Linked DNA regions of Lonchura striata. The protein of the gene in region 1 interacts with the protein of each later gene in a biochemical or structural test. Links are inferred from orthologs where the notes say so. Each region holds a gene or a part of one and is shown in the gene's direction. Other genes may lie near its edges. The genes, in order: NEDD4, YOD1, TNIK and SGK1.

Region 1 (7,490 bases):
ATTACAAATGTCTGTGGTATTTGTAAAGTAATTGTAACCCATGGTTACATAACTGCTATAAATTTAAGCCTTTAAAACTTGACTGCTGATAATGGTGACCAAAAAGGGCATAGAGCAGCATTCTACTTGTTTTGTTTTTTCCCCTACCAGTGACCCATATGTGAAAGTGACATTGTATGATCCAGTGAATGGAGCCCTTACCAGTATTCAGACAAAAACTATTAGAAAGGTTAGTCATCTTATCTGTGTGGGTGTGGTGGGGTTTGTTTGGGGTTTCTGGTATTGTGTTAAGGTTTTTTTTAAAAACAGACTCCAGAGAAAAAGTTAAAGCTATAGGAAATACAAGAATTCATGTATTTTGAGTGAATGGCTGTGTTGAAGGGAGTGTTCTATGGTCTGCTCAGTTTCTCTGTTTATGGCATTATTGTGGTGTTTTCTCTTCAAAAATTTTATTGAAAGGTAGAGGAAAAACTGAAGAATATAAGGTGAGTACTGATTCAAAACTACATTATTAATGGAAGTATTGGATTGTTCTGATTTTTCTGAGCTCTTTAATGATATAAGAATCTTTGTTCTTGTACAACTTTTTATCTTATGTTAAAAAACAGTTTGTTCTGTTTAAGCATCAAATTGCACCATTCATGTGAATCATGATACTCCTTGATTTTCTAGAATACATGCAGGAAAAAGTCAGTACTGCTAACTTAGTTTAACTGACAATGAAGAACTGTATATATGAGAGGGAAAGCACTCTTCCAAATTGTTCTGGATAGTGGCTGTGATTTATGAGGGCTCATGCATTTTTCCTTCCATGTTGATAATTCTTATATTAAACTCCCTTTGTAGCTAAACTATCTGTAGTATTTTTTTAAATATCACAGTTCAAAGATGAGCTTAGCTGAGTGAGTTATTGCTGTGTTTGGCCCATCTGTGCCTGGTCTGTGTAGTTTGTTGCTTAGAGATTTGGCATTTGGTAAGAGTTTGCATGTAAGTAATGTGGGTGTTGAGCTGAGAGGAAGGCAGTGATTATTTACTGAAGGGACATACTCTAAATTAACTATTTCCAAGTGTCTAAAGCACCTTCTCTACATCCATGACATAGCCAATATATGACAATACCTGCATAAATTGTGTCCATTCTGAACAGCATTAAACTCCTTTGACTTTTACCAGCACTATCAAGGTTAAAGGTATTTTTTTAAGTGGATTGTTACATGGAATAAAATGTGTAATACATCAAAAATTGTACAAAATAGTCAGTATAACTAATGCTCTCTTTTTTTTTTTTTTCCTTCCTCCATACATAGTCCTTAAACCCAAAATGGAATGAAGAACTCTTATTTAGAGTAAGTGATTTTGTTTATAGCCTTATTACATGTTGGATGTATTACACATTGAGAAAAACTACTCACCACTCTCCCCACTTCAGAACTCTTCCCTAATTTGGAAATAACTCTACAATTAATGTTCTGAAAGGCTCACAAATTGTTGTCCTTAGAAATATGTTTGTTAATTCTGAGACAAATGTGAAATTTTCAGTCTTGGTGTTGCCTTCTGTCGTCTGTGAATGTTTAAAAGCATGTGCATAGACTTAGAAACAGTTTGGGATAGTACCAGTTATGGTTTATTGGTTCAAATAGAAAAACATTGCAAAGTAGAATGGCAGCAAGGTATAAATTTGCTGTTTAATAAAGACCTTTGGTATTTCTTTCCTCCTGCATAAACACAGAGATTTTGCTGAAGACAAGTGCTGAAATTCAGTACATATGTTAATTATCACTATATTTATTTTTCATAGGTTAATCCTCAGAAGCACAGACTCCTTTTTGAAGTATTTGATGAAAACCGTTTGGTAGGTCTTTTTATGTTCATTTTGCAGTGTATTAAAGACTTGAATGAAAGCAGTCCATCAGGATTCAATGTGGATAAAAAACCCACTCCAAACAACCTTAATTTCTATAATGAAACCTAAAGCTAAAGGCAGACCTGATTATTTATATGATATTACCACACTCCTGAAGCTGTGACATTATTATTTTAAAACTTCTAATGTGTTTTAACTCATGAAAGCATCATTCTTTCATAGTGACCAAATTCTTTGGTGATATTGAAAGCTCTGTATTGGATGTTTATTTTTCCCTGTCAACAAAGCAGTATTGATATGTGGTGTGAGAAGCTTCCTCAGTGTGTGAGGAGTAGCATCAAAGACAGCATACATGGATTTTCTTTGGAAAGCTCAAGAAGAGAGAAATGGATTGCAACCTTGTAGATAGGTGTCACTCTGAATGGCAGGTCACTGGTGAGATAGGGCTAGCTTGTGCTTTTATCTAATTGAAATCAACATTCCTCCTCTGACCCAGGCTCTCATTTTGTGTCCAGATGTCTGGTTGCCTGTATTTGTTTTTGTGTTGCATTGTACGTAAGCTTGTAGCAGTACAGCCATGACACTTGCCTCTGTTTCACTGATGTTCCTTGTCACTGAAATAAATACCTTTTCCTTCTGCAGGAGTTTGGAACTAAAGGGAGGGATTGAATGCTTTTGCATGACAAACACAGTTTCATTCCAAAGAAAGGATCTCTTAGTGCTTTGTGTTTGAGTAGTGTGTTGGCCATGAAGAACATTTCTTGTTAAAGTTTTCTGCATGTGTTCAGTAAACCATTGTATCTTTTATCAAGATGCTGCTCTTCTGAGATTGGGAAGAGTAAAAATGTGTGTAAATGTAAGTACAAACTGCCTGGAATAATGAGTTTTAAGAAGGAGGAGGCTTGTTTCTTGGTTATAGGCATTACACAGTCCCCAGACCATTTAATGCTTAACTGGTGATATTACCGGTCTCAAGTATTTAAAATACAGTGTCTCTTTGATTTATTTAAAAGGAATCATAAGCACTTGTCTCTACATGGGAAGTTAAATATGATTTTTCAGGATGCTTAGATTTTCATCTGGACATAGTATTATGGGCTACAGCATATCCTTCACAACGTCAAAGTACTCTGTCCATTTTATGTCTGGTTAGAGCATTGCTGCCACCACCTGGAAGCCACGAGGCATGATTAGAAAGTAGGATTATTGATTTTTTGGGGGCAGAAGGCTGGTGTTTCCTTGGTATTTTCCAACAGAACTCCTTCACATTCTTTATCTAATCTATAAATTATTTGATCTGTTTGCTTATGGAGAGGAACCAGTTAAAGATTTTGTTGGTATCAGCTGGGAAATGGTGCTTTGTTTCCTATGCATGATTTTATTTAGAGATCAAAGTGTCATGACCTCATCAGTCACTCTAAGACCATCTCCCTATTTCTCTTCAGCTTGCTCTCAGAAAATGTTTTTATTCCAGATGTCTTGGGTTGTTCTAAGCAAGATAAATTGTTGCCTTAGCTATGATTGTTATTTAGCATTGGCAAGCTCCCCCACTTCCATTAATTCATCATCACATGATGAAAATCATAGGTAAGTATGTGTGATCATAGCTAAGTAGCTATGATCAAAAGATATTTCATCTTCTGTTATTTTAGTATTTCATTCTGTTATTTTCAGTGTTCTTTCATCTACCTTTTGGATGACTGTTTAAAGTCTAAATGTTAGCAGTTTGATAAAATTGAAATATTCTTTATATTTGTGTCCTCCTAATGGTTAATTTCCTCTTTACAAAATTTTATCCCAAGTGCATTTATTCTCTTTAACTTTAGGAATAAATGGAAGCCAGAAATACCTGCTTGTTTTTAAAAAAAGTTGTGTTATTGAATACCAACCTCAAAACCTTTCTTCAGAGTTTAGCTTAATTGTTGTGTTGGTCTTGCTGCATTGGTTATATTGCCCCTAGTCAGAGTTTTGAAATCTTCCTGTAATAGCTTTAAGACTTTTCAAAAATCACTTGTTTTGGATTTGATAAAGGAGTGCTAAATTTGGTTTGTTCTTCTGACATGCAAACCCTTGGGTTTGCAGTAAAGAATAAAGGGCTTGAGCAGTTTGTGGAGTCTTTAATTGTGGCTGTCTTTAAGAACACACTAGAAGAATGTCAAGAAGAACATTGAAATCACTTAGGAGGTGAGTCAGTGAAGAGACCATGTCTCTTGCCATCTGTCTTACAATACCTTTACAAAATTTAAGTATATTGCAAATTAAGTGCCTAAATCGGTTATTGATACTGAAGAAATCAATTCTATTAAGCTTTAAATGGAACTGTTGGTATATATTAAAAAATACTAACTTTTAGTGTACTTTTATGCCAACTCTAATTCAGCAACATTGACTTTAACACTTTAAAAGCCATTTTACATTGCCTGAGAAAGCTGTAGTTGGCTGGCAATACCTATACAGGTATAGCTAAGGAAGAGAGACGTGTTGAGAAATTTTGCTGGAATCTTAAGCCTTGAGTTACCAAAAATTATGCCAGTTTATTGTTTTTTTAGGATTTCTTTAGTAAAATTGAATGAAACATTTCAGATCATCCACTAGGGGAAAAAATAATGCTTTTACTAAAAGAAACAAGTACCTCCAATGGTTGCACTTTGCATTACAGCAATATGTTACAAACTGTGCCACTAATATGTTTGTTCTTGGGGAGAGAAGAAGCCTTAAGAAATGCATTTTTTACTTTTTGCTCACATATCTTAGGATCATTTGCTGATCTTTTTGGTTTGTGTTTGGTTTTATGGGTATTTTTTACTGTATTGCTTGAAGTACAAATGTAACATTTTGAAACTGACCAAAAGAACCTTTCATGGTATTTTCCTTTCCTCTTCTATCCCCAGTCCTCAGCAACATACAACTTTAGAAGAAGTCCTGTTGGTTATAATTAAATAAATGAAGTGTTGTATTTGTTGGCTTTTTATGAATAAGCTAGTATTCATTTATTGCTGCATTCTAATAATGGAATTCAGGTAATGGAGGTTAAGTAAGCCCTGGAGTATAATTAGAAAACAAGTTTGTTGCTTGCAAACAAGGTACTGTGAATTTGATTCTTGGCTCTTTTTTGGGAAGGAGGTATAAATGTTAATTTTACTGCCTTCTAGCTTAAAATACAGTAAAGGTTAAATAAATATGAAGCAGAAAAAACTCCTAGTAGTATGACCTATAAAAGTATAAATGGCCTAGTGTTCTCTTCTGTTTGTACTCTTTCAGCAGCACTAAGTAATTTCATGTTAGAGCAGTAGCATTCAGTACTGCATCATATATGGCTTATGTATTCAAAAGTACATTGATAGCCAAATGTTGGTGTTTTTCAAAACAAACCCCACAACAGAAATCCCACTTAACAGCAATATTCAAGATTGTCTTTTATCAAAAATCCCACTAGGTGCCAGCAAAGGACCTCTACAGATTGTATGAGCCAATGAAACATTTTGTAGGAATTCTCAATCTCTTTACTCTTGGAAGAATTGACAGTATATTAACTTCTTGACATGATGACCTTTTTCTTTTAAAAAATGAAAATTAAAAAAAAAATGGTATGAATCTGTGAGGCAGTTTGTGTATAATTATACAGAATAGCTTTCTTCTGTAATTCTGTTTGGTAACACTTTTTTTTCTGTGCGTACTTAGTTCAGTGTTTTGAAGTTTGTGTAGCTGGTCACAAATCTGCAAATCACATTGAACTGTAATGACTGTGTCCTTACTCTGGGTTCTAGCAAATAAGATGAGGTAGTTTGATTTGTAAGAGTAATCTTGTTTCTTTCTACCTTTAACAGCTGCAGTTAGAAAAGGTCAAACTAGAAATAAAAATAAATGCCAAATTATTAACCAGAAAAACTCTTTTTGGCTCCTTTTCAGTTGCACTTCATTTAAAATTATGAATTAATAAGCACAGAGGGTTCTACTATGTGCAAATCTTTAGAAAGTGTGATTGCTTAGCAGCATGTGGATTGCAAGATAATGCCAGATTGCTTTCAAGTTTTATTTAAATAGTGCAGAAAAACATTTTCTTAAGGGAGAGAGGAGGCTTATTTCACTAGTTTATGCATAATTCAGACCTCAGCAGTTTGCTAGCATGGTTACTATTTGGAAATTCAATCCTGGACTTGATACTCAATTATATGGGACTTCATTCCTACCAACTTCCTGTAATTCTAAACCTATGGGTAAAAATATTAGTAGTCATACGCTGCTGAGGAAAGTACGGACACATTGACTCAGCTCGTGCAGCCGCAGCAGGCGTTGCTGTTTGCAGCTTGGAAGTTCTGGAAGCCTATTATAGTACTCATTTATGCAAATTCCAGAAGGTGTAATTGCAACAAGGTCAGTAGTGTTTGTCAGTGTGTCGCAGCTGAGGTTTCTGGAACATAAGTGCTTTTTAAATGAAGGTTTTCTGACTGCAAGCAATCAACGACCGGTCCAGAAACTGCAGTTCAAGGAATGGCTGACTTATTTCAAGAGGTACTTTCTTTTAAAATGCTAGTATCTTGTAGAAATTAGGACAAAGACTGCAACTTTTATGGGCTTTTACTGTTGCAATGTACCAGCTCTGGGTTCTGTGCAGCTGCCTGTAGCCTTTCTGCTGAAGGATCTTTGTGGGTTTCATTTGCTAACATGCATGGAAATGAGAACAAATGGCACGACGGTTAAGATTGCATTTTGCTACTCAAAGAAGCAACACAGACCCATTATCAGAAACCTCTGAAGATTTTTTGGATAGTAATAATTGTATGTACTTCAAAAAATCACAGAGTTCTGCACCTAGCATTACACAAGTGAAACTGATTCCTAGACAAGCTGCTTATGCACCTGTAGTGCAACAAGTAATTAATCAAGAGAAAAGCACAACTGTTTCTTCACTGCAAATAAAAAAGAGCAGTTCATTGCACATTTCCTTGCAGTCTAGGAAGCAAAATGGATGTTCTAGGTTTGGTGATGTCGTGGCTGCTGGTGAAGACACTTCATTCATTGGTATTGATAGCGAAGGGAGCTGTGGTGCTGGACCTGTGTCTGACCATCGATCTAATGACAGCCTTCTGAGCAGTGCTGCTCTGGGCAGAGGCAGCCTCAGCAGCATTGCAGCAAGTGACAGTGGCTCGTTCAGCAGTGCTGGCAGTGACTATGGATCATGTGCAAGTACCACAAGTGATGGAGGTTCATATACTAACAGTATCATCAGTGACAGTGGCGCTCTTTGGACAAGTGACAGTACTTTCTGTGGTGACTCTTCATGTAGAAGCACTGCAAACATATGTAATCCCTCCAGGAGCAACTCATCTCAGGAAACACTGTACAGAAGTAATACTACTTTTGACCAAGATGCTTTGTCAGTGAGAAAGAAAACTAAAATTCCATTGCGACGTTGTTCGTCACTGGTTATTTTTCCTAGGAGTCCTTCCAGTACCCCTCCAGCTTCTCCAGTGAGCTCAGGTCGACTACCACACAGAGGCACCTATCAAACATCTCATAGATTAATTATTTCGCCTAGTGAGCTAGCACAAAAAGATGATCAGACCATTTCTAAGGGATTCCTTTCAACAGCAGTCAATGGACTTAGACTGTCTAAAACAGTTTG
Region 2 (7,758 bases), on another chromosome or scaffold:
GTTGGAACTCAAAATGTCCCTCAGACATTTTTGGAGGTTCCGGGCCCAGGTCAGAAGCATTTGAGACCCTGGCAGGCAGCTGGAAACAGCTGTGATTTTGGGCTTGAACCATGGAGTGATTTACCAACCTTGAAGGTGGAACAAGGAGTCACAAAAGTTTAGATATTATAGTAGCAGTAGTCACAAAGTAGAGGGGAAAATTTTTTAGTATTGTACAAGGGGGTTTTAACACCTGTACAGGGGGGTTTTGGTTTTGTACACGGGGGTCAGAAGTTTTAAGATGGATTTGGGATCTGGGCTGATCCTGTTCCTCCTCTTTCTCCTTCCTTACCTCCATGTTCTTGGTGATGTTGGCACTCACAGATTGGTTTAGAGTAGAAAAGCACCATTTAATATAGGTAATAGGCATTGGGGAAAAACTGTAAACATGTAACATGTAATGTACCATATAAAAGATAGAAAATCACCATTTAATATAGGTAATAGGCATTGGGGAAAACTGTAACCATGTCACACGTAATGTACCATATAAAAGATAGAAAAGCACCATTTAATATAGGTAATAGGCATTGGGGAAAAACTGTAACCATGTCACACGTAATGTACCATATAAAAGACAGCAGCAGCCCTGGCAGGGAGAGAAGAAGCAGTCGGGGTCAGAGAGGATGTCAGGGTGTGTGTGTGCCTCTGCCTGAGCTGTGAGCAAACCACAGCAGCTCCAGAAGTAAATCTTTTAGATAACTTGCAATAAACTGCCTTGAGACCCAACAACAGAGACTGCTGAGCCTTTCTCTGGAAGCACGGGTTGGAGGAGAGATTTTTCCACCACACGGAGCCCCTGAACCAGGCCAGGGGTTCCAGCAAATATCCGCATTTTTTTAATAAATCACCAGGGCACAGCTGGGCACCTACCTGCTTGCCCCGGGCCGACAGCCCCGAGTCCCCTCCAATCCTGCCCAGGAGGTTGTACTCGCTCTCGCCGTGCCGGCAGAGGTAGATGGTGCGTGGCTGGACGTGGATGTTCATCAGGTAATAGACAATTTTACTCTGGATGTAGTCCTGCACTCGGTTAACCAGGAACCGCTGGCCCACGTTGATCACTTTAATGAAGGAAAGATCTCTAGAGTGGACATAAAGGAAGAACAACCCACATGGGTGGTTTGAAAAACCAGGCACAAGCACCTGCAAGGGTCACCCAGCTACTGCTCCTCTAGGAAAGGCAGGACAGGCTCAGAACTGCTGGCCTTAAAAATCCTTCCCTGGGAGGGTGGGGAGGCCCTGGCACAGAGTGGCTGCTCCTGCATCCCTGGAAGTGACCAAAGCCAGGCTGGACAGGGTTTGGAGCAGCCTGGCATAGTGGAAGGTGTCCCTGCCCATGGCTCTTTGAGATCCCTTCCAACCTAAACCATCCTGTGGTTCTGCAGCACACACAGAAAAATCCCTTCAGATCTCACTTGGGACGTGTGATTCACCTGCACACAGTCACACCTGGGGAGAGCAGAGGTGTTGGAGCATCCTGACAGCAAAGCAGCTCCTGTGCCCAAGGACAGAGGGATGTGCCAAGGGATTTGCTCACTTGTCATTAGCATCCGGGTCCAGAGGCTGGTAAGTGACCTTGTAGCACTCGATCCTCTTCAGGAAATCGTCCATCACATTCTCCCGGTGCCTCTCTGGGTAGTCAGGGCTGGAAACTTTCACCTCCTGCCCAACAGACAGCCGAGTTAAGCAAACTCAAGAGGGAAGAAAAGCCACGATGAATAAAATTCCCCTCTTTTGAAACAAATCCACATTGTTTGACGCTGCCCTGAGGAAAAACCTGCTCCTGGAGAGAAAACAAAGGGCGACTCTTAAGGCACTGAAGGGGTTGGCCCTGACAGACACCGCTGGCTCAGAGCTCTGCCCTCCCTCCCTCGCCAGGACAGCGCTCCAAGGTCACCCATTCCCGGCTCCTCTGGATTTCCACATTCTCACATAACGGCATCTCTGGCTTTTAATAAACCTGCAAATCCCAGCTCCTGTCCCGCAGGTGAAAGGAGAGAGGGAGGATTTCACAGAGATCCCCACGAGCTCCCCGAGCCCGTGACCTTGCACTGGGAGCCTGAACAGCAGCCGAGCCTGGGAAGGGCAGCACGCACCAGGATATTGGCAGCGATGACCTCCGGATCATCACAGACAGACTCCACAAAAAACACCTGGGCAGGAGGCAAGGAAGCACATTTCAGAGTCAAAACTGCAGAGCTGCTGTGCCAGGGAGCCACAGCATCCCTCAGCACAGCGACTGCAAATCACACGCACAATTAATCACACACACAATTAAAGCATTACCTTGAAAGCATTTTCCTTAGCAAAATTTAAGATCAGGTCTCGGCGCTCCCGAGTCGTGTTGGTTGCATCAAACACCTGGCAAAAAATGAGGAAGGAGTACTGAGCAAGTTCATCTTAAGACTTTTAAACTCCAGCTCCAAATCAGGTCCCCGAACACTCCAGGCAGCTTTGAACTGCCCTGGTGTAAAATTATTTTTAGTGCAGAGGATCTTACAGCTATTTGCCCACACTCCTCCAAGAGATAAGACTTCACATCTTCCAGAGCCACCAGGGCACAGCGTCTGCAGGACAGAAATAGGGATGGTCACAGCTGATGGAAAGCATTCCCACAGCAAAGCTTCTGAGCCAGCAGGGAGGGATTCAAACACCTCCCTCGCACCCCTGCACCGTTCTAAGAGCCCCAGAGATCTTGGGGCACCTCCACTGTGTGGCCTGACCCTGAGCTTTGTGGCAGCCCCAAACTCCCACACCCATCCCATCCCTGGCAGGATCCCTGCACAGGCTGTGCTGTTCCTTCTTCCTTCCCCAGGCGCTCGTGGTTATTTTCTGCTCCTCGTGCACACAGCCTGCCAAGACTCCAGCATCCCCAGCCCTCCCCGGAGCCACCCAGCCCCTGACAGGGACTCACTTGCGGATTTCCATGGCCTCTTTGTTGTCGTGCCTGAAGAAGTCGTAGGACTTGTAGGACTTCACCGCCTCGCGCCGATACACCCCTAAATTAAACACTTCACAGAGGAGAGGAGAGGGTGAGGGCATTCCGCTGGCAGGCGTCACAGCCCGGGCAGGGATGTCCCCAAACACGCACACCCACCTTTGGTGGGCACCCCGATCCAGTTGAGGTAGCGGGTGAGCTTTTTGGACATGTAGGTCTTGCCCCTCGCGGGCAGCCCGATCATCACGATCAGCGTAGGGGAGTTGGTCATGTAGGAAGCCCATGCTGCAAAAAAAAAAAAAAGAAAATAAAAAAAGCCCCCAAACCACCCCAAAACAGCATCAGGGGCGCTGCAGAGCATAAAGTGAGACCCAGCGCAGCGTCACCCCGTGTCCCGGTGGATAAAGCACCTCCGCGCATCCCAGGACGGGCTCGCGGTGTGTCCTTGTCGTTAATGAGCTGCTGTGATCACTCTGGGTCTCCCAGGTGTTTGCTAATGAGGCGCACCGGCAGCACCGCTGCCTAATGGGGCTTTTAGTGTTAAAAGCATTTGCCGCCCGGGCAGGCGCCGTCAAGGGCGAACGAAAGATGTTTTTAACAAAACGGTCACGTTCTCTCAGCAAAGCAGCCCGAGCAAGCTCCGAAAAGGCCCGCGGAGAGGCGGATTTGGGGCGAAAAGCACGGGATGGGGATGGGCGCGGGGAAACGGCGGGAGGGGAGAGCGGGGCAGGGGCAGGACGGGGACCCGCGGGAGGGACGCGAGGCTCGGGGCAGACGCGCGCAGCCTTCCCCCCTCCCGCCGCGGATCGCGGTTCCGTAGGGCTCGGAGCGCGCACCCTGCCCCGCACCGCCGGGCCGGGGCTACTCACAGCACTGCTTCTCGCCGGCCCGGCCCCGCGGGGCCCCGGCGCAGCCCCGCGGCGCCGCCGACATGGCTCCGCGCCGCCGCTCCGCGCCCCGCCGTATGCAAATCGCATGCAAATCAGCGGCGGAGCTCGCACACGGCGGAGCGGCGACGGAAACCGGGTCCCGGGGACCGCACACGCGGGAAAAGGGGCGCGGCGGGGCGGGAAAACGGGCCCGCGTCACGCGCGCGGGGGCGCGCGCTGTACGCAAATGAGATCGTGTGGGCGGGGCAGCCGCTTGCTGTATGCAAATTAGGCCTGGAGGGCGGGGCAGCCGCTGCTGCATGCAAATAAGGCCTTGAGGGCGGGGCAGCCGCTCGCTGTATGCAAATGAGGCCTGGAGGGAGAGCCGCGCGCTGTATGTAAATGAGACCGAAATTTCGGTGGGCGGGGCGAGAGGGGAACGGGAGCGCGCGCGCCACGCAAATGAGATGGGCGGCGATGAAAGGGGAGCGGAGCTCGCGCCTCTATGCAAATTCAGGCGGGCTATGCAAATCACATGGGCGGTAATCATCGGGGAAGGGCGGGGACCGCGACTCACGGCAACGCCTGGCGTTATGCAAATGAGCTGGCAGGCGGCGTCCGGCTGCATGCAGACTGAATGGGCGGTGCCACCTCCTCTATGCAAATAGGAGGGCGGGCGCGCGGCCCGGCTGTATGCAAACGCGCGCCGGGGGCGGGGCGCGGCGTGCTCTCGCGAGAGCGGGGCGGGCCGGGCCGGCGGCGGCGGCCCCGAGGATGCTGCGGCTGCGCTGCAAGGCCCGGAGCGGCTCGCACGCGCTGCCGGGGCTGTGGCCGCACTCCCGCCTCCGCGACATGCAGGCCGCGCTGGCCGCGCTCACCGGGGTGCCCGCGCCCGCGCAGCGCCTCCTGCACGGCTTCCCGCCGCGCAGCCTCGACCTCAGCGACGGCGAGCGGCGGCTGGGCGAGCTCGGCATCCACTCGGGTGAGGGCCGCGGGGGGCGGCGCTTTGCGGGCTCTGCCGCCCCGCCGGCTGTAATTGCGTTAATTAAAGAGGCCGTGGCACGCACGCCCCGCGTCAGCCGGCGGTCGGGCCGGTTCCTGCTGCCGGGGGAGGCGGCGGCGCTTCCTGCTCGCCGCCGGTGCTTTGGCCGCTGCCGGGGCTCCGCGGGGAGCAGCGCGGGGCTGGAGGGGACGGGGCCCGGCCGCGCCAGGTGAGTCCCGCGGGGACCGTTGTGCTGCCACCGGCTGTTGGCCGAGGCTGTTCCCGGCGGGACGCCGAGCCGGGGGAAACGGGCCCAGGTGTGCGAGGCCAGGTCGGACGGGGCTCGGAGCAGCCCGGGCTGGTGGAAGGTGTCCCTGCCATGGCAGGGGTGGGGATGGGTGGTGTTTGGGACCCCAGACCAGTCCATGGTTCTCCTCCGGGATCCTCAGCAGGGACAGCACGGCCGTGTTGTTGTGTTTGAGGAGCAGCAGCCGCTTTAAGTCTCCCCTTTGCGCCTCTCTCACCCATCCCCGCTTCTTTCTGGCAGGTGACACTCTCATAGTGGAAGAGGACACATCCAAACCCGAGCCTGACTCGCCGGTGGTGGCCAAAAAAGCAATGTCCCAGCCTGTCAGGGAAGCCGTGCCTGTGCTGGCCAGGAGGGTGGTGCCAGCAGACAATTCCTGCCTGTTCACCAGCGTGTCCTACGTGGTGGAGGGCGGCGTGTACGACCCCGGCTGCGCCCCGGAGATGCGCAACCTCATCGCCCAGATCGTGGCCAGCGACCCCGAGTCCTACAGCGAGGCCGTGCTGGGTAAAACCAACAGGGAATACTGTGACTGGATCCGCAGGGAGGAGACCTGGGGAGGAGCCATCGAGGTGTCCATCCTCTCCAAGTTCTACCAGTGCGAGATCTGCGTGGTGGACACGCAGACCGTGCGCATCGACCGCTTCGGCGAGGACGCCGGCTACAGCAAGCGCGTGCTGCTGATCTACGACGGCATCCACTACGACCCGCTGGAGCGGCGCCTGCCCGGCTCGGACCTTCCTCCCCAGACCATCTTCCCCAGCAGCGACGACGTGGTGCTGGCGCAGGCGCTGGAGCTGGCGGATGAGGCGCGCAGGAAGAGGCAGTTCACGGACGTGAATCGCTTCGCCCTGCGCTGCATGGTGTGCCAGAAGGGACTGACGGGGCAGCTGGAGGCCAGGGAGCACGCCAGGGAGACTGGACACACCAACTTCGGGGAGGTGTGAGCTCGGCGGGAGGAGGGTGCCATCGACTACCTCAGCGCTCCGGAATCCAATTCTGGAGTCCCCAGATAAGCTGTTTGTAATCATAAAATTCCGTTCACAGAGCTTGAAAAGCGAATTAACTTCACGGTGGCCGAGGCGCAGGTTTGGGAATAGGGGATTGGGAATAGGGATGGCACTTGGGCAGGTGGTGGACAGTGGCAGCCACACCTTGATTTCATCACCTTTTCTGTGTGTGTGTGTGATCTGAGCACACAGACACAGGCTTGTCCAACACTGGTGTAAAATCCACCTCTGAGGTGCTGAATGTACATTTTCAGGGTAATTCAATTAATCTGAGGCTTTGGGAAACACTCATGTCAGCATCACTTACACTGAGAATTAGGCTTTGCACTCACGCTGAGAATTAGGCTGAGCAGCTCTCAGAGGGGAGAATGCTCGTGTGGTGCGTGATTTGTAATGGAAATATCAAGTACAATAACAAAATATAAGTTGTAGTGGAAAGAGGATCTCTGAGCTGCCCTGTACCGTCAGGAATAGACTGTGTAGTTTGTGTGCAGAGAACTTTAGGGAAAGCAATGGCCTCTAAGCTTTAAGGTAGCCTTTAAATTAATGAGTAGATGAATAAGTGTTGAATAAAACTTACTAATCCTCCGTAGGTAGTTTTTAGTTGCTTGAAAAATAACTCTTAATCCCCTGGTGTTTACACTGCATCAGAGCATAAGCATGTTTCCTGGAATACTTGGGATTCTTCATAATTGCATTGGAAATTCCTGCAAGAGGGAAGTGAGTAGTTAGGGAAGTGACTTAATTTGCATCTGTTAAATACATTGAGTATTTTACTTGAGCAGAGCCAATCACGGCCATGGTGTTACTAAGCTGTTCCAGTTTCCAAATACTGTGAATGAGCACTTTAAGGTTGAGTTCTCACTCTTTGCTGGTAAAAAGTTTTGCCCTCTGGAGGCCAGAGCCAGAAGGGAGGCTTGAAATTCCATCTGCTTTCTGCCTTAATGTGTTTGATTTGCCACCGCTGACTGCGGAGTAGCAAGACTTTCATTGTGATAATGAAAGGTGCAGCTGAATATTCAGATGAAAATAAGCTGGGAAAAGTGCCCCACTCCTTGGACTGTTCAGAATCAGGGAAGGTGAAATTGGTTTAATTGGAATATCTTACCTCACGGTGGGGTCGTGAAGCTGAACAGCGAGGGCTTTCAAAAGGTGCTGTAAAGGTGCATATTACTGAAGGGGATTTATGTTGGTTTTTTTTTCTTTGAAATGCCTGCAACACGTCCTTATTTCTTAAATTTTAAAATATCCTTTGCCTGCCATTCTTCTTTTACTGTTTTGAGTGACCTTCTTTGCACTTTTAGACTGGGGAACAAGAAGGGGTGTCCTTGGACTGAGGCAGAAATATAAATCCACTTTCCACGTGGAACCTAAAACCCAGTTTGAAAGGGCTCTGTTCCCTCGGGCACTGACCAAACTGGTGCAGCAACACCACCTTTTCTGCAAAAATCATATTTCTAGTTCTCAGCAGAGGCTCCAGTTGGATCTTGAAATACAGGAGGGTTTTATTGAAGAAAGAAGGTAATTACTTAAGTGCTTTGCTGAATTAAGGCATGAATAATTAAACAGCCTAGGATCACCCAGAGCACTATGGACTGGGTTTGTTTTTAATT
Region 3 (8,002 bases), on another chromosome or scaffold:
ATGCAGGGCAAGAAATTAGTATTCCTCAGCAGGACTGTGGGGACGTGGCTTGCTGGGGGCAAGGCCATGTTAGGTTTTCTGCAAGCAGTGCAAAAATGGGGTTTTGATTGGTTTCTAACCAGTCGCAATTGGCACATTTTAAATGACTATAAAAGACCTGACACCCTCCTGAAGAGTAGGGTCGCCCTTTAATGTTTTCTTTTTTCTTTGTAGATGAGGCACAAAGGAAAGAGGTTAATTGACAAAAGGAAGTCCTGCATCAGTAGTGTGAAGTGTTCCCAAATAGCAACCTAAAATCGTATTGCCAAAAGGACATGATAAAGCCCTGATGCTATAGCCAGGCTGAGGAGAGAGACATCAGCTCCTGCTGCATCTGCTGGGGAACCACACACATTTTATTACAAACATCTCTGCTTTAGCTAAAACCTGAAATTTTACATTTAAATTTTAGCATTCTGGTAAATGATACAGAGTGTCTCAAAGGATGTGGGTGCTTGCTACCCTGGAGAAGCCTTCTTCAGCTCAGGCCAGGCACAGAGTGAGTCTGAGCTACATAAACCAGGCACGGGCACAGCAAGCACTCCTGCTGCTTTTGGCAACATACTGGGGGTGGCTTCCAGGCTGGAGTGTCCTTGGTGGCTTTGGTCCACAGTGGCAGTCCTTAAGAGAAGACAAAAGCAATGGCAACAGAAGGGGCATAAAGAAAACCCTGTGCTGGTCCTCAGCATATATTTTGCTCCCTCAAATATTTTGGGGAAGAACCCTGCAGTGCTGTGGGTGAGTTAACCTGGAAGTGAACCATCCCCTGTCTCTTTCCCCGTGGTGTCCCAGGAATTTGCTGTTTGAGTGTACCACTCTGTTTCCTGATAAGAATATGTAGAGGAAGGGTTTTCCAAAGAGCCCTTGTTGATTTTCCATTTACTCCCCAATCACAGAGGTTTGTACTTACACAATGCTTGAGTAAGGGAGTGATGCACTATCTACAGGGGATTTTTCTTTTGTATACAGCTATAGGAAAAATCCTGGCAGCAGGGTTCACTCATGTAGTCCTGCTCTGCTCCAAGGATGCAGTGGAAAAACACTTCTCTCCCTGGAGAGGAACCCTCATCAGCAGGAGGACGAGCAATCAGTAAGTGATAATGAATCAGTTAAAGTGCATTTGAGATCAATAGATGTCGGTTAGGACACATGTAGCCAGTCATTTCTGAGTCTCTTTTATCACAGCTGCATGTTAGCCTAAACCCCAATTATTATGCATTTTATGGAGTATAAATTTTTCAGCATTCTCTGTTTAGTTTGGGCAGAGTCCTTTAAGTACTGTCTTACAAGGGTTAACAGCGGGGCAAACCAGCCTGGACTTAGGACACCAGAAAAACTGGGGCTACATGGTCACAGAATTATTGTGGAATAAATCATATGTTGGTGCCCAAACATGCTTCCCTGTTTGCTTCATTCCTCATCTTGATGATCTTTTGAAGAATGATCCAAAGCCCAAAGCACCTGAAGCTGTTGCTAATTGGGCAAGGGCTTATGTGTCACTTAGATTTATTCATCCTACATACACTCCCTCACAATATAATTAACGGCGATGGCACTGTTAGATAATTAAATTTAGTTTTAGGCAGAGGTCAAATGACCTGGATAGCTTATATGGGGGCTGATGCCCTTCAATGAGTAAATCAAAAATAGTTATTTCAGGGTCCTCCACTGCTGACAGCAGAGCTTTGGGTCATTAAGGTGCTCATTGCTCACCAAGGCCTGTGGGAAATATGGAATTTTCACATGTGCCCACTTTCCAAATGGAAATGAAATCAGAAAAACAATGACCTGTCACAAAATGATCCCAGTATGTGGCAGAAGAAATGGAAATGGAGCTGATAAGGGATGTGGGGACTGAGCTGGGAGGGCTGTGTGCTTCTTCCATGGTTATTGCTTCATGAAGGATGGGGTGTTGTAACTCAGTTCCTTTATTTGGCTTGGTGGTGCCCTGCCCATGCTGCGTCTCACCCACAGCTGTGCCAGCGCTGGCTGGAGCTGGTGTGACACAGCAGGGTCCAGCTGCCATGCCCAGGGGGGACCTGCCAGGTAAAAACTGAATCTTGTGCTGAAATTACTCACGGCAAAATATTTTGAGCCACTTCAGCTGAGTACTTTGTTTTGAGTCACAGTGACTGTAACTGAAAGGTTTCTTTAGACGCTCCTGGCATAAAAAAAACCAACAGTGCACAGAGAGACACAGATAGATTGGTAAATGCATAACTAAAAGAGTAACAAATTGCAAATTTAATTTTTTGATGGAAAAAGCTTCCTGCTCAGTTTAAGCTTTTCCTGCAGCCTGCCTGGGCACCAGTACAGCCCATGTAGCATCCCTGGCATCTCCAGAGGTCACTGGGTGCACATCTCCCCTCCATGGCTCCAATTTTGCCCCAAGCAGCCTGGAAACAGTAGCACTCTCTGGGATTTTCCTGTCACTTCCCTCTATTGCTTTATGCATTTCTTATTTCAGTGATAATAGGAGGGTCCTCTACATTTTTCCCATCTCTATAGGCAGTGGATAGATTGTAATTAAATCACAGCTTAGTTTGGGACTTGGCACTCGTGCTGAGAGATCAGGGCAATCTGTCTATTTGCAGGATTAGACATATCTATCTATATATATGCATATATTAATCCTTATGTTTTTCACAAATAATCCTGTGTGTTCTTGGATGCAAAGCACATTAGAGCAAGCCAGCATCCTCTCTCATCCTGTTTGTTCCTCCCTTCTCTGCCTGAGAACAATGACGGCAGGAGGAAGTCTCGCATTGGTTTGTTACCAGTTTCCAGGCAGTTTTGCTTCCAGCTCCCCAACTACAAGCGCAACATTGCAAATCCTGGGCTGGAACAGACACAGACAACATCTGGTCTAGAAAAACACCACGAAAGATTGGGGAGTTTGTTGAGTTTAGCATTTAGATCAAAATTACCTCTTTATATGTGAGTGAGGGCTATTGACTGTGCACGATATTAAGGAGTGATGATTTGTAGCTTGGGAAAAGGGGTTAAATCCCGGCAGCCTGCCGCCACTGCGGGTGATGTGCAGCCCCGTGCGACTTGGGCAGTTCATCACCAAAAAGAAATCACATTTTGCTGTGCCCTCGCAGCCCGGCAAGCTGAAACGCCGGCGCTGCAATCAGGATTAGTAAGTGATAAGGCAGGGATGCAATCCCCCGGGCAGTGCGGGCTGCCCAGCCAGCCGAGGGCAGCGGCAGCACCAATCCTGATCTTTTCTGCGAGGTTTCAGCAGCTCCTTCTGGCCTTTTTCCCTCCGTGTCCCTCAGTCCTGCCTGGTGAGGCTGCACCTCCCGCACCAGCAGCCTCCCCACAACTGCACGACTCTTTGCAATACCATTTATTATTACTTTTTGGAGCACATCTCCAATCAGAAAGTGTAAGAAAATCCCATCCGCCTGCCAGTTGACTCATGTGTAGGGTTTCCGCTTCCCAGATCTGCATATTGTAAGCTCCTGACACAAGTTGATGTTGTAAGTACAGCTTCCATACGGTTCTCTCAAAGGCAACAGATTTTTTTATACATATATATTTATATACGGCACCTGGTTTGGCAGGAACCACATCCGAAAAGGGGAAATAAGGAAAACTAAAAGCTGACTCTACCTAGCTATTGCTGGCTTGGGAAGCGGTTTGGCCAATTACAAACACAGCATCAATCTCTTATTCCAATTAGGATCAGCCTGGGAGCTGGTAGTGCTGGGATGGCTCTCGAGTGCCGAGGGAACAGCTCGACAACCGGCCAGCAAACCCGGGTGTGACATCCGCATCCATCTGCAAAAGGGCCAGATCCCACTGAGCATCTGAGGAACACCAAGCAGGGGGATGCGTGGCTGCTGCTCTGGCCTCGGCGCTTCCCACCTCCTGCCTGGCAGGATTTGGGCTCAGCACCTGAACCTGGGCAGCTTTTCACCTCCTGCCTGGCAGGATTTGGACTCAGCACCTGAACCTGGGAAGCTTTTCCACCTCCTGCCTGGCAGGATTTGGGCTCAGCACCTGAAACTGGGCAGCTTTTCCATGTTCTGCCTGGCAGGATTTGGGCTCAGCACCTGAACCTGGGCAGCTTTTCACCTCCTGCCTGGCAGGATTTGGGCTCAGCACCTGAACCTGGGCAGCTTTTCCACCTCCTGCCTGGCAGGATTTGGGCTCAGCACCTGAACCTGGGCAGCTTTTCCATGTTCTGCCTGGCAGAATTTGGGCTCAGCACCTGAACCTGGGCAGCTTTTCCACGTCCTGCCTGGCAGGATTTGGGCTCAGCACCTGAACCTGGGCAGGTTGTGGGCAGCTTTTCACCTCCTGCCTGGCAGGATTTGGGCTCAGCACCTGAACCTGGGCAGCTTTTCCACGTCCTGCCTGGCAGGATTTGGGCTCAGCACCTGAACCTGGGCAGCTTTTCCCGGCGCACCTGACAGGCACCGCTGCGGGCTCCTTGTGAGGGGAACCCAGGCGGCCCGGGCGCTGCGCCTGTCAGTGTCGGGGGGGATCTGCGAGCTGCACGAGCCCGTTTGTGCGCCGCTGGGCGCGCACCCCGGAGGGTCCGGACGCCCTGAGGGTCCCTCCGGGTCCCTCCGCGGGTGCCACCACCGCCACCACCCCGGCCGCGTCCCCTCGCCCTCCGCCGCCACCGCCGCGGTCCCGGCGCGGCGCCCGCCCGGCCCTGAGGGGGCTCTGCCCGCCCCCGCGCGGCGCCGCCCCCTGGCGGCGGGTCGGGCGCCGCCCCCGCGGTGACAGACAGGGGCGGCGCGGGGCCGTGCGGGCGCGGTGCGGGGCGGGCGCGGTGCGGGGCGGGCGCGGCGATGCGCCGCCGCCGCCGCCATCCCGGCGCAGCAGCCCGCGGCGAGCCCTGCCTGCCTGGCCGCCGCTAGGCAGCCGCGCTGCGGGCGGAAGGACAGGGGCGGCGGCGGCGGCTTCTCCTTCCCGGCGCCCCGCATGAGGAGAGGCGTTAAATAGCGCCAGCGCCGCGGCGGCCGCCACTGCCCGGTCGGTGGCGGCGGGGCCGCCTGGCCGGCGGCGGAAATATGGCGAGCGACTCTCCGGCGCGGAGCCTGGACGAGATAGACCTCTCGGCGCTGCGGGTGAGGCGCAGGGCCGGGGATCGCGGGGAGGCATGCGGGAGCGGCACCCCTCCCACCCACCCATCCATCTATGCATCCATCCATCCATCCATCCATCCATCCATCCATCCACCCACCCACCCACCTATGCATGCATGCATCCATCCATCCACCTATGCATGCATCCATCCATCCATCCCGCGATGGCGGGGAGATGGGGCTGGGGGTCTGCGGTGCTTGGTGTGTGTGTGTGTGTGTGATGTGCGCCTGCACGTATGTAAATGCGGGTAAGACAACCCGTGTGCGCGTGCATGTGCGTGCCCGCCGCCGCGTGTGCGCGCATCCACACGTGTGTGCATCCGCACATGTGTGCGCGGATCTGCGGGTGTGCGCATCCGCACATGTGTGTGTGTGTGTGTGTGTGTGTGTGTGTGCCCGCCGTGCCCCCGCAGGTGTGTGCGTGTCCGCGGGTCCCACCCGGACACCGCCGCGCTGCGATCCCCCCGTGGGCAGGCGGACACGCGGGGATCGCGGGGCCGGGCTGCGGAGCTGCTCCCCAGAGCCCCGCTTTCCCCGCCCCGGCCCCGCAGCCTCTCTCCATCCCTCTCCCGCGGTGTCCCTGCGCGCTGCCTCCTCCTCACCCCCCTGGAAAATGAAGCCCAGCATGTACCCTTGAAATGTCAGGCTCGTCAGACGTGTCAGCCGCGGCGTGGGCTGTGGCCTGATGTCCCCCCTGGTCCATTTCTCGTGTAACTTTCTTCCTTTTCCCCATCTTCCTGGCCGTAAGAACAGCTCGTTGGGAACGAGCATGGGGAGTCATTGAGAGAAACAGCATTTTTGCGGGAGGCAGCAGCCCGGCTGCTCCTCGTAACCCGCTGCATAGACAAATAAATCAAGCAAAATCCGCTGAAGACTTGAACAAGTGTATTTTTAGCAATGTTATTTGCTTCAGTGCAAGAAAAAAAAAAAAAAGAGAAGTCTATCTTTATTCACTTGCCCTACTTTCTTTCTGGTGAGTTTCTGGTTGATTAATAGTGTAAATGATTGCTCAGCAATACACGGTGTAGATGAGATTGGAATGGGGGAACCATCTGCCTTAAAAACAGACCTGGAGCTGGTTTCCCCTCTTAGGTGGAAGCTGGGAGAGAGGGAGAAAGGTTGCTGAAGCCAGTGGAGTTAATTCAGGAGACCAGTATAATTTAGGGAGCAGAGGGCCCTCTCCTTCTTCCCCACCCTCTGTTTTTTTTTTTTTTTTAATTTTTTTATTTAACATCTGTGCTGGGAATTGTATTTGAACTAGGTTATGATTTCTCTTTAAAGCCGTATCCAGACGTGCTTAAGTTGTTTTGTTTTTTTTTTTTTTGTTTTTTTTTTTTTTTGTTTTTTTTTTTTTTTTGGTTTGTTGTTTTTTTTTTTTTCCCTGTTTGTGGCTTTTTAATAGCAATGTGCACCAGCTACAGTCAGGGTTTTGTTTTCGCTTTAGGAGGAAATGTATATTCCCTTCCTCCCTCCCCCCCGAGACCCAGCGGCAGCTCCTGGTCGGTGAGCAGAGCAGCGCTGGCATTTCAGGGTAACCGGAGACAAGGGGACCCAAAACCCCGACTGACCCCGGGCTGGGACAGCAAACCCTGCTCTCCTGCCCAGCAGTGACTGTTCTGCCAGCACGGGGCTGCTGCCAAATCAGCCCTCTGCCCCCTCCCAGGGGGACAGACCTGCTGTGGCACTTTCCTGTAAATGATGAGAGATGTGGTGGTTTGCAGACGAGACAAGAATAGGAGCTTAATTTGCCAGGGAATAGATCTTCTTCTAAACTAAGCTCCTCCAGCACTTAGAATAATTGTTAAAGGTCGTAAATTCAGCAGATAGGGCACGAAGCGTGAATCATTCCATGGGGTCTGAATCAGAAATCGATAGTAAATTTGCTGCCTGAGCACAAAACATGGCAGGGAGGAGTAATTCCCCAAGCCTTGCAAAATTTTTATGTATCAGAAAAGAAATGTCACTTTGCAGTGGGTTTGTAGATGAGTCTGGGTGTAGGAGATGTTGCTTTTGTGCTGCTTGTGTGTTTAAAGGGGTGAGAGGTGACTCTGTGAAATGCTGGGAGCAGGTAGTGACTCAAAAATCTGGCGATTTGTTCCCAGCAGCAGGGAAAGGAAGCGCTCAGGACACTTATCTCTGAGTTTGAGTCACTGAAATGTTCCAGGAGGCTGAGGCTTACGAGCCACAGGCAAATCTGTGTCAGAAAGGTCAAACTCTGCCTGCCAGTCTGGCCAGTCCTTTGCTTTGGCTTCCCTCCTGCTGTCCCAGGGAAGGGAGGTGTATTTGCAGGATGGCAGCGTGCTGTTGTGAAGGCTGAGCACAAGCAGAACCCTGCACACCATCATTCAGTTCAGTTTGCCACTGCCCAAGGGCTTATGAGGTGGGATTTATAGATCTGGGCTGGAAGGTGACATAGGAGGTGGCAGGAGCTCCCGTTTTTGCCACACTGCAGAGTTTATTTTGGCCACACAGTCGGGCTCCACCGCAGCAGTGCATCTGCTTGATGTGCTGGAGGCTGGGCCAGGAACAAAGCACTGAGTTCTGATTAAAATGCACGGCCTGGTGCATCGAGTAAGTGCACTTGGGGCTGGCTCCTGCCTTCTCTGTGACACGTTTCTATCCATCACTGGGCACCGTGCTCATTGCCGTGGTACCCAGCAGTGCCCCTGTGGGTGCAGAGGACTGAGTGTGCCAGGATAGGAAGGATTCTTAAACCAGAAATTTTCCAGTGGTGGTGCTGGTAATGAGGATCGTTAATGTAGCAGAAAACTGTAATTTAAAACAGTGAGGCCATCGAACAGGTAGCGCTGCATATTATACTGACAAGGGGATAAGATAAATTACATTATAATGTTCTT
Region 4 (7,404 bases), on another chromosome or scaffold:
GGAGGCTCTTTGTTGGGGTTGTTGCCATGTCACTCAGTGCCCCATTCCTCACAGTGACTGGGAGAGCATATGGAGCAAGCACAGAGGAAGAATGGTGGGAAAATTTGCCTGACAAGCTGCACCATGCACTCCATGAGGTCTTGAGCTGCATATGATCAGGGGCAGGGATGTCAAATACAAGTAGAAACTGGGGAACAAGTGATGCTTGTGAGCAATACAAGATGAAGAACACGTGAGAGCTGGCCTAAGAGCAGTGTCCACACAACAAGACCAAAGCTAGAGGAGCAACCACAGAAGTGTCAAGAGCTGCTCTAAGGCAGAGCTGAGATGAAAGCCATATGGACATTCAACTAGACATTTCTGGACATAGAAGATGTTCAAACACCCATTCTGCTCTCTTCAGTTGTTGTTCTTACTTTCTGAGCTGGTCCTGGTGTACTCTGATAAACGAGCTGTGCCTTTCTTTATCATTGCATACCAGAGTAAAATATCAGTCATGGGTGCTGGAAACTATCCACCTTTCCCTGCCCACAAAGGAAGTGAAGGAAGCAGCACTCACAGACTGAGCAGCTGTGTAAGAACCCATAACATTCTAGAGATGATTTGCCACATGTGGTTTTGGCCCCTGCCAGAGATGTAAGCAACTTTGAAAGCACAGCAAAGGGAACTGCAAAAAAAGGGCTGTGATACTAAAAACTGTGACTTCATACTGAGCATTCTTCTCAGTCAGTGGGAGAAAAAGATTTAGTCTGTTAAGGTCGTAGCTAATTAAACTTGTCAATGTAATCTACTTGTTCTATGATAAACCCTGGATTGATTTACCACCTGTTATCTGTGACATTGCACTTGTAAGCATTTAAAAGCAAGGCAAATTATTGGTATCTGTGTTCATAAGAGGCACAACAAGAGAATGAGAATTCTGGCCCAGGCTTAGTGCCCCTTGCATACTACGTCAGTCAAAAGTTATGTTATTTCTTCAAGAAGATCTTCAAGAAAAACACCTTCATGCTCTCCCTGCAGGGCTGTCTCACAGGAATTCAAATGCTACCATGTGTTTTGCAGCTCTCTGAAATTCTGTAGCTATGATACATGTGTATTTCTCTCCTGACTGCCCTAATGAAAAACTTATTTTATCATTGCGGAGTATATGACAATTTAATGGGAACCGCTAAAGGGTGTTAAAGCATGCAGTACCTGTAGGACTTGTTTAAAGTGTTTGGTATATCTGGCAGTCCACCAGGCTGATGAAAGCCCTTGATGTTTTGTGACAATCACAATAAAGCACAGCTGAGTGTGTTGTCCTGGCTGAAATTCTTATTTTCCTACTCAATTTTTATGCCTTTTTACTGAAGTTAAATGCAGTGAACATGGATTTTTATGCTCATTTAAGGTTTAATTATGAAGCCATGCTTTTGGCATCATAAAAAAAAGTGAAACATTTTTTCTAGTAAAAATATCTCTGGCTTTAAATATTTGGCTTCTGGTGTAAAAACAAATATGTGGTGTTCCCTTTTTCCTCCTATTTTATATTTTTGATCTCCAATGCTAGATATAAGCTCTGCAGGCACTGAGTTGCACTCTGATTGATACTGTATTAAAAAAAAAAAAAAAATGTTTGGAAATAAACTCCTTGGAGGCCACAGAGTCAATGAGATTCCAGCTGAGAAGAATTCCAGTCAAAATATAGATATCCTGAGGAGGCCAAGGAGAGCTCTGTGTGATTCAGGGATAGTGTCCTAGGCCATTCCCCTTGCAGCAATGCACCTGCATCAAAAAATAACTCCTACAGTACTTTAAAACTATCACTATCAGGCTACTTAAAAAGCAGCTGGAGTTTTTTCTCTCTAATGGAAATTAACTTAAGGGCATAGTTTGTTCAGCTGAAAAGAGGCAAGCACCCAAACAAAGTAAACAGCCAAAAAGGTCTGGGGCCAAGGCCCTTGCACCAGGACTCATGAGATATCTTCGCAGCAGCAGTCTCCACCCCCAGCAGCCTACAGGGTGCTGGGTTTAGGAGGCTTGAAGGAGAATGGTGTTTCAATCAGCAGGCTGGAAATCTTATGGAGAAGGTAGAGACAACACAAATGCTTTTGTGAAAGAGAAGGCAGTGCCTGCAGGAGAAATATCTGAGGCTGAGAGACAGATCAAAGCTGTGGCTGAATAGATCAAAGATCTCAAAAATAAATGTACGTGCATAGCAAGCTGCCTGGTTTGCCCGAGAGAAAGTCATTCTTTTGACAATCATTTTCTTGCATTTCAGACTAGCCAACGAAGCATGTGGTGCTCAGAATAGTGAGAGACACCACCAGTAGAAATTGGGCACTCGCCATTGTCTACAGCTCTATCTGTAAGCAGCAGAATATAGCTCTGACAGCTCTAAAGCACAGCAAAAGATTATGAGAGATCAATAAGACTGAGGGATTGGCTGCAAGGTGGAGGAGGGTGGTGCTCACTTCAGGGAAGACTTGCTGATGCATATTGAGAATTCCGTATTTTCTAAAAACCTCCCCAATGTCCCTCTAGCTGGGCACTCTGAATTTCTGATCAGTTTTTAAGGGCCGGGCTGAATTGCTCCTTGGCAAAATCCATTAGCCCCAGACAGAGCAGCAGAGTGGAAAATTCCCTCTGTCCTTGCTTCAGTGACAATTAGTTATATAAAGTGAAACAATTCTGATGAGATATTGGCTTTTAATCTCCTTGCTTCAGACAGTCCTGTAAGAACATCCAAAATCAAGATTATGTCTTTTGTGCTGCTTGGACATTGAACTGTAGCTTCCCAATGAGTGTTCTCATTTGTGACCTGGGATCAGGCTGTACCTTCCCCTCATAATTTTGACCAGAATTTTTAACCTGAGCTCAAGAAATATTTCTCAGAGTATTATCGTGACTACTGAAATTAAATACAAAGAGGAAAGACAGGAAAAGGATGGGAAAGGATGGGAAAAGAAAAGGGAAAAAATGGCGAAATAGGTATGAGGAAAAGAGGTTTTGAATGAATGTTGTGGTACTACATCCTTAAGAAATTTGAAGTCTAGGATGAGTGCAGCCAAATTGTTTATAAACAGTGATGGAGAGCTAAAGGTACAAAGTTGGGAAATACATGTTGTTGACTTGTAAAAAAGGTCATAGCCTACAATCTGCTCAGCCTGGAGTCTCCAGTGAGTTGCGCAGGTCCAAAGACCTGTGGGATTCTCTATGTTCATAGTTTTACCTCTCTACATGCAATAAGGGGAACCTTGCACTTGAATAGGATATACAGCTCTTATTATCAAAGGATCTTCAAAAGAGGGGATAAAAGGGGCAAAGAAGAGTGACACAATATCTTCAAAGACTACTTAAAATTACTTCCACTGAAAAATGTGAAATGCTCAGTTTATTTACCTAAACATAGAGATGATTTAAATTAGACAAGTATCCTCATATCCTCATATATATATATATATAAAATACTTTATATTACAGGGCTGACCAATCTTGGAAGTTTTGGCTCGAGCGAGAAGCCAGATCAGTATTAGAAATTAGAAATTAGGTCCTTTCTTGAAACTGAGGTTTATTAACCTGGAACATAGGCTGATAGGAGGTCATGAAAACCCTATTTTATTTTCCAAACCTTTCTGGAAAATGTAACTTAATTAAGGTAGACTTTACAGTTCAGTTAAACACATATTATTGGATTCACTGGACTTGGTGACATTTAACTCAATTGAATTTAATAAAAAGGAAGTTTAAAAAGGTGCCTTTTCAAGATTCTTTCAGTCCTATTTCTAATGAAAAACCCTTTGGGTTTCAAAGATATATATCTATGTTTCTATGGAAATATCTGGACAAATGTGTCTGTGTCTGCTTGGGTCACATTTATCTGCACCACATATAAGAAATGTACTTTATAGGAACTGTGGGTTTCCTTTAAACTCATTGAACTATCTACAGCATGTCCTGTCACATAACCCAGTATGACATTGATCATTGGATGGGCTTTTTTCCAAAGTAACACTGTTTAAATCAGAACATAAGAAAAACATTTTTTTTAATTGACCTGTGTTTCTTTTCTTCTTACTCAAAGACTGTTCACCTATAAAATGACAGCTACCTCTGTCACTATCCCAGGGGAAAGATATTGCCTTTCAGCACTTCTTTCCCTGAGCCTTCCTACTACCCTTTGTATGGTTGTGTTTGGCTGCTCTGCCTGTGCATCTCTCCCTCGCTCTCTCTCTCCTTCCCCCCCCCCTTCCCTTCCCTTCCCTTCCCTCCCTCCCTCCCTCCCTGTCTCCCTCCCTCTCTCTCTCTCTGCTATTACTGAACTGCAGCTCCCACTGAAATTTGCACAATCAAAACCAGCTCTCATCTCAAACAGCAGTGAATTGCACCACCTGAAGAAGGAAAATAGCAAATTAAGCACGGTATCCTCTATGCTTATACAGCATGTGGTACCAGTAAATCTCACAGGATGGATGGACCCGGGTTTATGTGAGACCCACTTAGCCTGAGGTCTGCTGCCTCTGATCTGAGAGCTGTCACAGGATTTTACAGGAGGATATGTATTTAGGGGATGGTTTTAAGAAGCTAATAGAGAGCTGCATGTGAGAGCTGCTGCTGCCACTGTGCTGCTGCTGCAGTAGCTGGTGCAGCAGGATGAATGTGTAAAGGACAGCTGCCTGAGCCATGCCGGTGAGTCTCCTGCCCTGCTCTGTCTTCATTAGCTGAAAGAATACAGAGGAAAACAGATGCACTAACAAGTGCCACACTGGCACACTGGATCTATCACTGTGTACCCTTCACTGTGGAAAATGGTCAACAAAGACATGAATGGATTTCCAGTCAAGAAGTGCTCAGCCTTTCAGTTTTTTAAAAAGAGGGTAAGATTTTCCAGATTTTCCTTTAATTCTTTTTTTCTTTTTTCTTTTCTTTTATTATTGCTGTGTTTCTTACTCAGCCAGAGTAGAGAGAAAGTCATTGAAGAATGAAAGTGCTTTATGTTGGTCTTCTACTTTATGGAGCCCATGGCATGGGCAGTTCTACTGAACACCAAGGGTAATAGCAGTGTAGGTGAAGAGGAGCAGGGCAGGGGGACAAGGCTGGGGGCTCCAAAGGCATTACATCAGCACTCTTTGCTGTGGAATGTGTATCTCTGTCACGGCTGACCCCAGGGCTTGACGCAATACAGGCAGCTATTCTGGCTGGGATAATGCACTCCAAAGCAGAGTGCAGGGATGTTGCAGCTTGCCTCTGACTCGCTGCTCCACATCCACCTAGGGTTATGACTCCCTCCACACCTTCCATTTACTTTCCTGAAGTGTAGCATTACCCTCATCCATTCATCATCTCACAAAGTAGGGGGAAAAAGAGAACAAAGAAGCATTTGTAAGCTCAGGAAAATACTTCACAGTTTCTAATTTGACTGTAATCATAATTCATGCAGGAGAAAAGAGTAAGACTGAGCTACACCTGGATTTGATTTTCTTTTATATTCTTTAACATAGATACATCAGGATTCAGAAAATATTTGCTATGCATTTTATTCTGTTTTTCTCCAAGAAATGCAGGTGTAACTCTATCTCGTCGCTTTAGCTAAGTCCTTTCTGTTTCTTTGACTCTTTTCTAGTGACAATACTGCACACTCTTTATTTACTTGAGAAGCAGTCATTTCCATGTGGCATCAGGACAGGTATTCTGAATAAATCTGGGTAGACCCAGACAGCAGAAGCAAAGCATCAGAAAGAGATTGTTAGCAGGGACTACACTGTGGAAAGGATTTCCTGAGTGATTAAAACGACAACCCTCTCTTTAAACAGACTGGAGTAGGAGCAGATAAGCTGCTCCATTCACTCATTAGTTCATTCATTCATTCATCCTCATTCATTCACTCTCCCTCCATTATGCCAAGAATATGGTCAGTTCTTTTAACCCTTCAGGCAAAAATAATGAAGCCTACACCAGTAACTAATTTGTAAGCTGGGGTCAAACCCTTTCAGGCACCAAGATGCCACATTTAAGGGCAGATATAGAAAATACTAGCTGGGTCACTCAGAGGAAAAAAATGCAGTGTTAGCCAACAATTGTTGTTTCCAAGGCAGTTTGTAGAAGCCTCAGACTGATAACTCAAACAGCACATAAATTCAGCCCCTAAAAATGGTTGTCATCCCAACATGCTTCTCATTTAAGTACATTACTATTGGCACATGTTTACCTGATACTCAGCTTACCAGCAAGGTTATCTGTTGTTTTTTTTTTAACTGCTTGAAGATTTTAATATAATTGTATTATTAAAGAGGAAAGTAACTGTCTTGCAATTCCTGTATAAGGTTCCTGTATTGTCAACTGTCTTCTATCTTTTTAGAGTCACTGAGAAGTTATCACTGGAAACCTCTACCTAATTTTGTTCTATAAGAAGGGAAAATTGTGATTTCTGGGTTTTTTCAGACCTACACTGGTAATCCATGAATTTACAGTTGAAAGAGATTGTTAATTGTAGTCATAATTGAGGAAACTGTCATACTGATACAGTCCTGGACAGTGGAACAGGACAAATAGCTGCCTTTGGTTTCTGAATGTTTTCATTTTAACAGATGCTGCCTTTTTGCTATTGTGATGAAGATAGATGAAATCAGTAAAACCAATTTAGAGACACAAAGAAGGGAATTCTCTCCCTATACTTTTCTGTTAATAGATATATGTGTTCATTGATGTTTCTCTTACCCCTCTTACCTTCCTTGCAGAAAATCCCCATTGTCCAATGCCAGTGTTTGAAACACACACAAACAAAAATAGCTATATGCTCATAATGTGTTGCTGGCTCCCAGAAATATATCTTGCATTTGCTGGACTGGTGATGTGTCACATGTTAACTACTGTGAGAACAAGGAGAGATGGTTCAAGAGTTTATTTGGTCTCCTGCCAGTGATCTGGACACTCTGGCTGAACCACCAGAATCCTGGTGTATAGAAGCACATTTGTGAGCTTTCTTGGTCTGAGTGTAGTGTGTGGTAGAGCTGTTTGACAGTTTGCATCCCCACAGCACCAGTGCACCATAACCAGCAACCCAGGGGATGCATCCTCCATCCAGAGTGGGAGGCAGGAATTGCACTGCAGAGCCTGGCACTCCTGGCTGCTCGGTGAGGTTACTGCTATCCCTCTTTACTGAAAGATGCCTGACACACAGAGAAGGTCATTTGTTATCTGGGTACTGAGCAGGCTTGTCCAGATCACCAGCAGGGTCTATGATGAAACAAGGGCTGGGGCTTCAATCTCTCCAGTTTGAAATCACTGCGTCTATCTCCTCAAAAGCACATATTTCTAGTAGAGGTGCTTTCCAAGTCTAATTCTAGAAAATCCAAATCAATGTAGAGTAAAACACATTAAATTTTTGAAATGCTGCTATTTTTTCAACACGGATTTTTTTTATGG

What was found.
Region 2: the proteins of NEDD4 (region 1) and YOD1 form a complex in vitro, tested with the Homo sapiens proteins (2 studies listed by BioGRID, with this or other methods). The link is inferred for Lonchura striata from reciprocal best matches to the Homo sapiens genes NEDD4 and YOD1.
Region 3: the proteins of NEDD4 (region 1) and TNIK form a complex in vitro, tested with the Homo sapiens proteins (2 studies listed by BioGRID). The link is inferred for Lonchura striata from reciprocal best matches to the Homo sapiens genes NEDD4 and TNIK.
Region 4: the proteins of NEDD4 (region 1) and SGK1 form a complex in vitro, tested with the Homo sapiens proteins (3 studies listed by BioGRID, with this or other methods). The link is inferred for Lonchura striata from reciprocal best matches to the Homo sapiens genes NEDD4 and SGK1.

The regions. Positions count from the first base shown.
Region 1 is NC_134613.1:11,478,265-11,485,754, forward strand, and holds the start of NEDD4 (E3 ubiquitin-protein ligase NEDD4), read left to right. Parts: upstream 1-4,423; 5' UTR 4,424-6,549; coding exon 6,550-7,490. UniProt on the Homo sapiens protein: E3 ubiquitin-protein ligase which accepts ubiquitin from an E2 ubiquitin-conjugating enzyme in the form of a thioester and then directly transfers the ubiquitin to targeted substrates. Specifically ubiquitinates 'Lys-63' in target proteins.
Region 2 is NC_134632.1:2,156,491-2,164,248, forward strand, and holds the start of YOD1 (ubiquitin thioesterase OTU1), read left to right. Parts: upstream 1-4,620; coding exon 4,621-4,828; intron 4,829-5,375; coding exon 5,376-6,082; 3' UTR 6,083-7,758. Other genes in the region: PFKFB2 (6-phosphofructo-2-kinase/fructose-2,6-bisphosphatase 2), read right to left, coding at 913-1,120, 1,577-1,701, 2,136-2,192, 2,326-2,400, 2,540-2,606, 2,954-3,050, 3,137-3,262, 3,847-3,910. UniProt on the Homo sapiens protein: Hydrolase that can remove conjugated ubiquitin from proteins and participates in endoplasmic reticulum-associated degradation (ERAD) for misfolded lumenal proteins.
Region 3 is NC_134612.1:22,735,876-22,743,877, forward strand, and holds the start of TNIK (TRAF2 and NCK-interacting protein kinase), read left to right. Parts: upstream 1-4,864; 5' UTR 4,865-5,069; coding exon 5,070-5,126; intron 5,127-8,002. UniProt on the Homo sapiens protein: Serine/threonine kinase that acts as an essential activator of the Wnt signaling pathway. Recruited to promoters of Wnt target genes and required to activate their expression. May act by phosphorylating TCF4/TCF7L2.
Region 4 is NC_134605.1:58,640,396-58,647,799, forward strand, and holds the start of SGK1 (serine/threonine-protein kinase Sgk1), read left to right. Parts: upstream 1-4,287; 5' UTR 4,288-4,787; coding exon 4,788-4,856; intron 4,857-7,404. UniProt on the Homo sapiens protein: Serine/threonine-protein kinase which is involved in the regulation of a wide variety of ion channels, membrane transporters, cellular enzymes, transcription factors, neuronal excitability, cell growth, proliferation, survival, migration and apoptosis.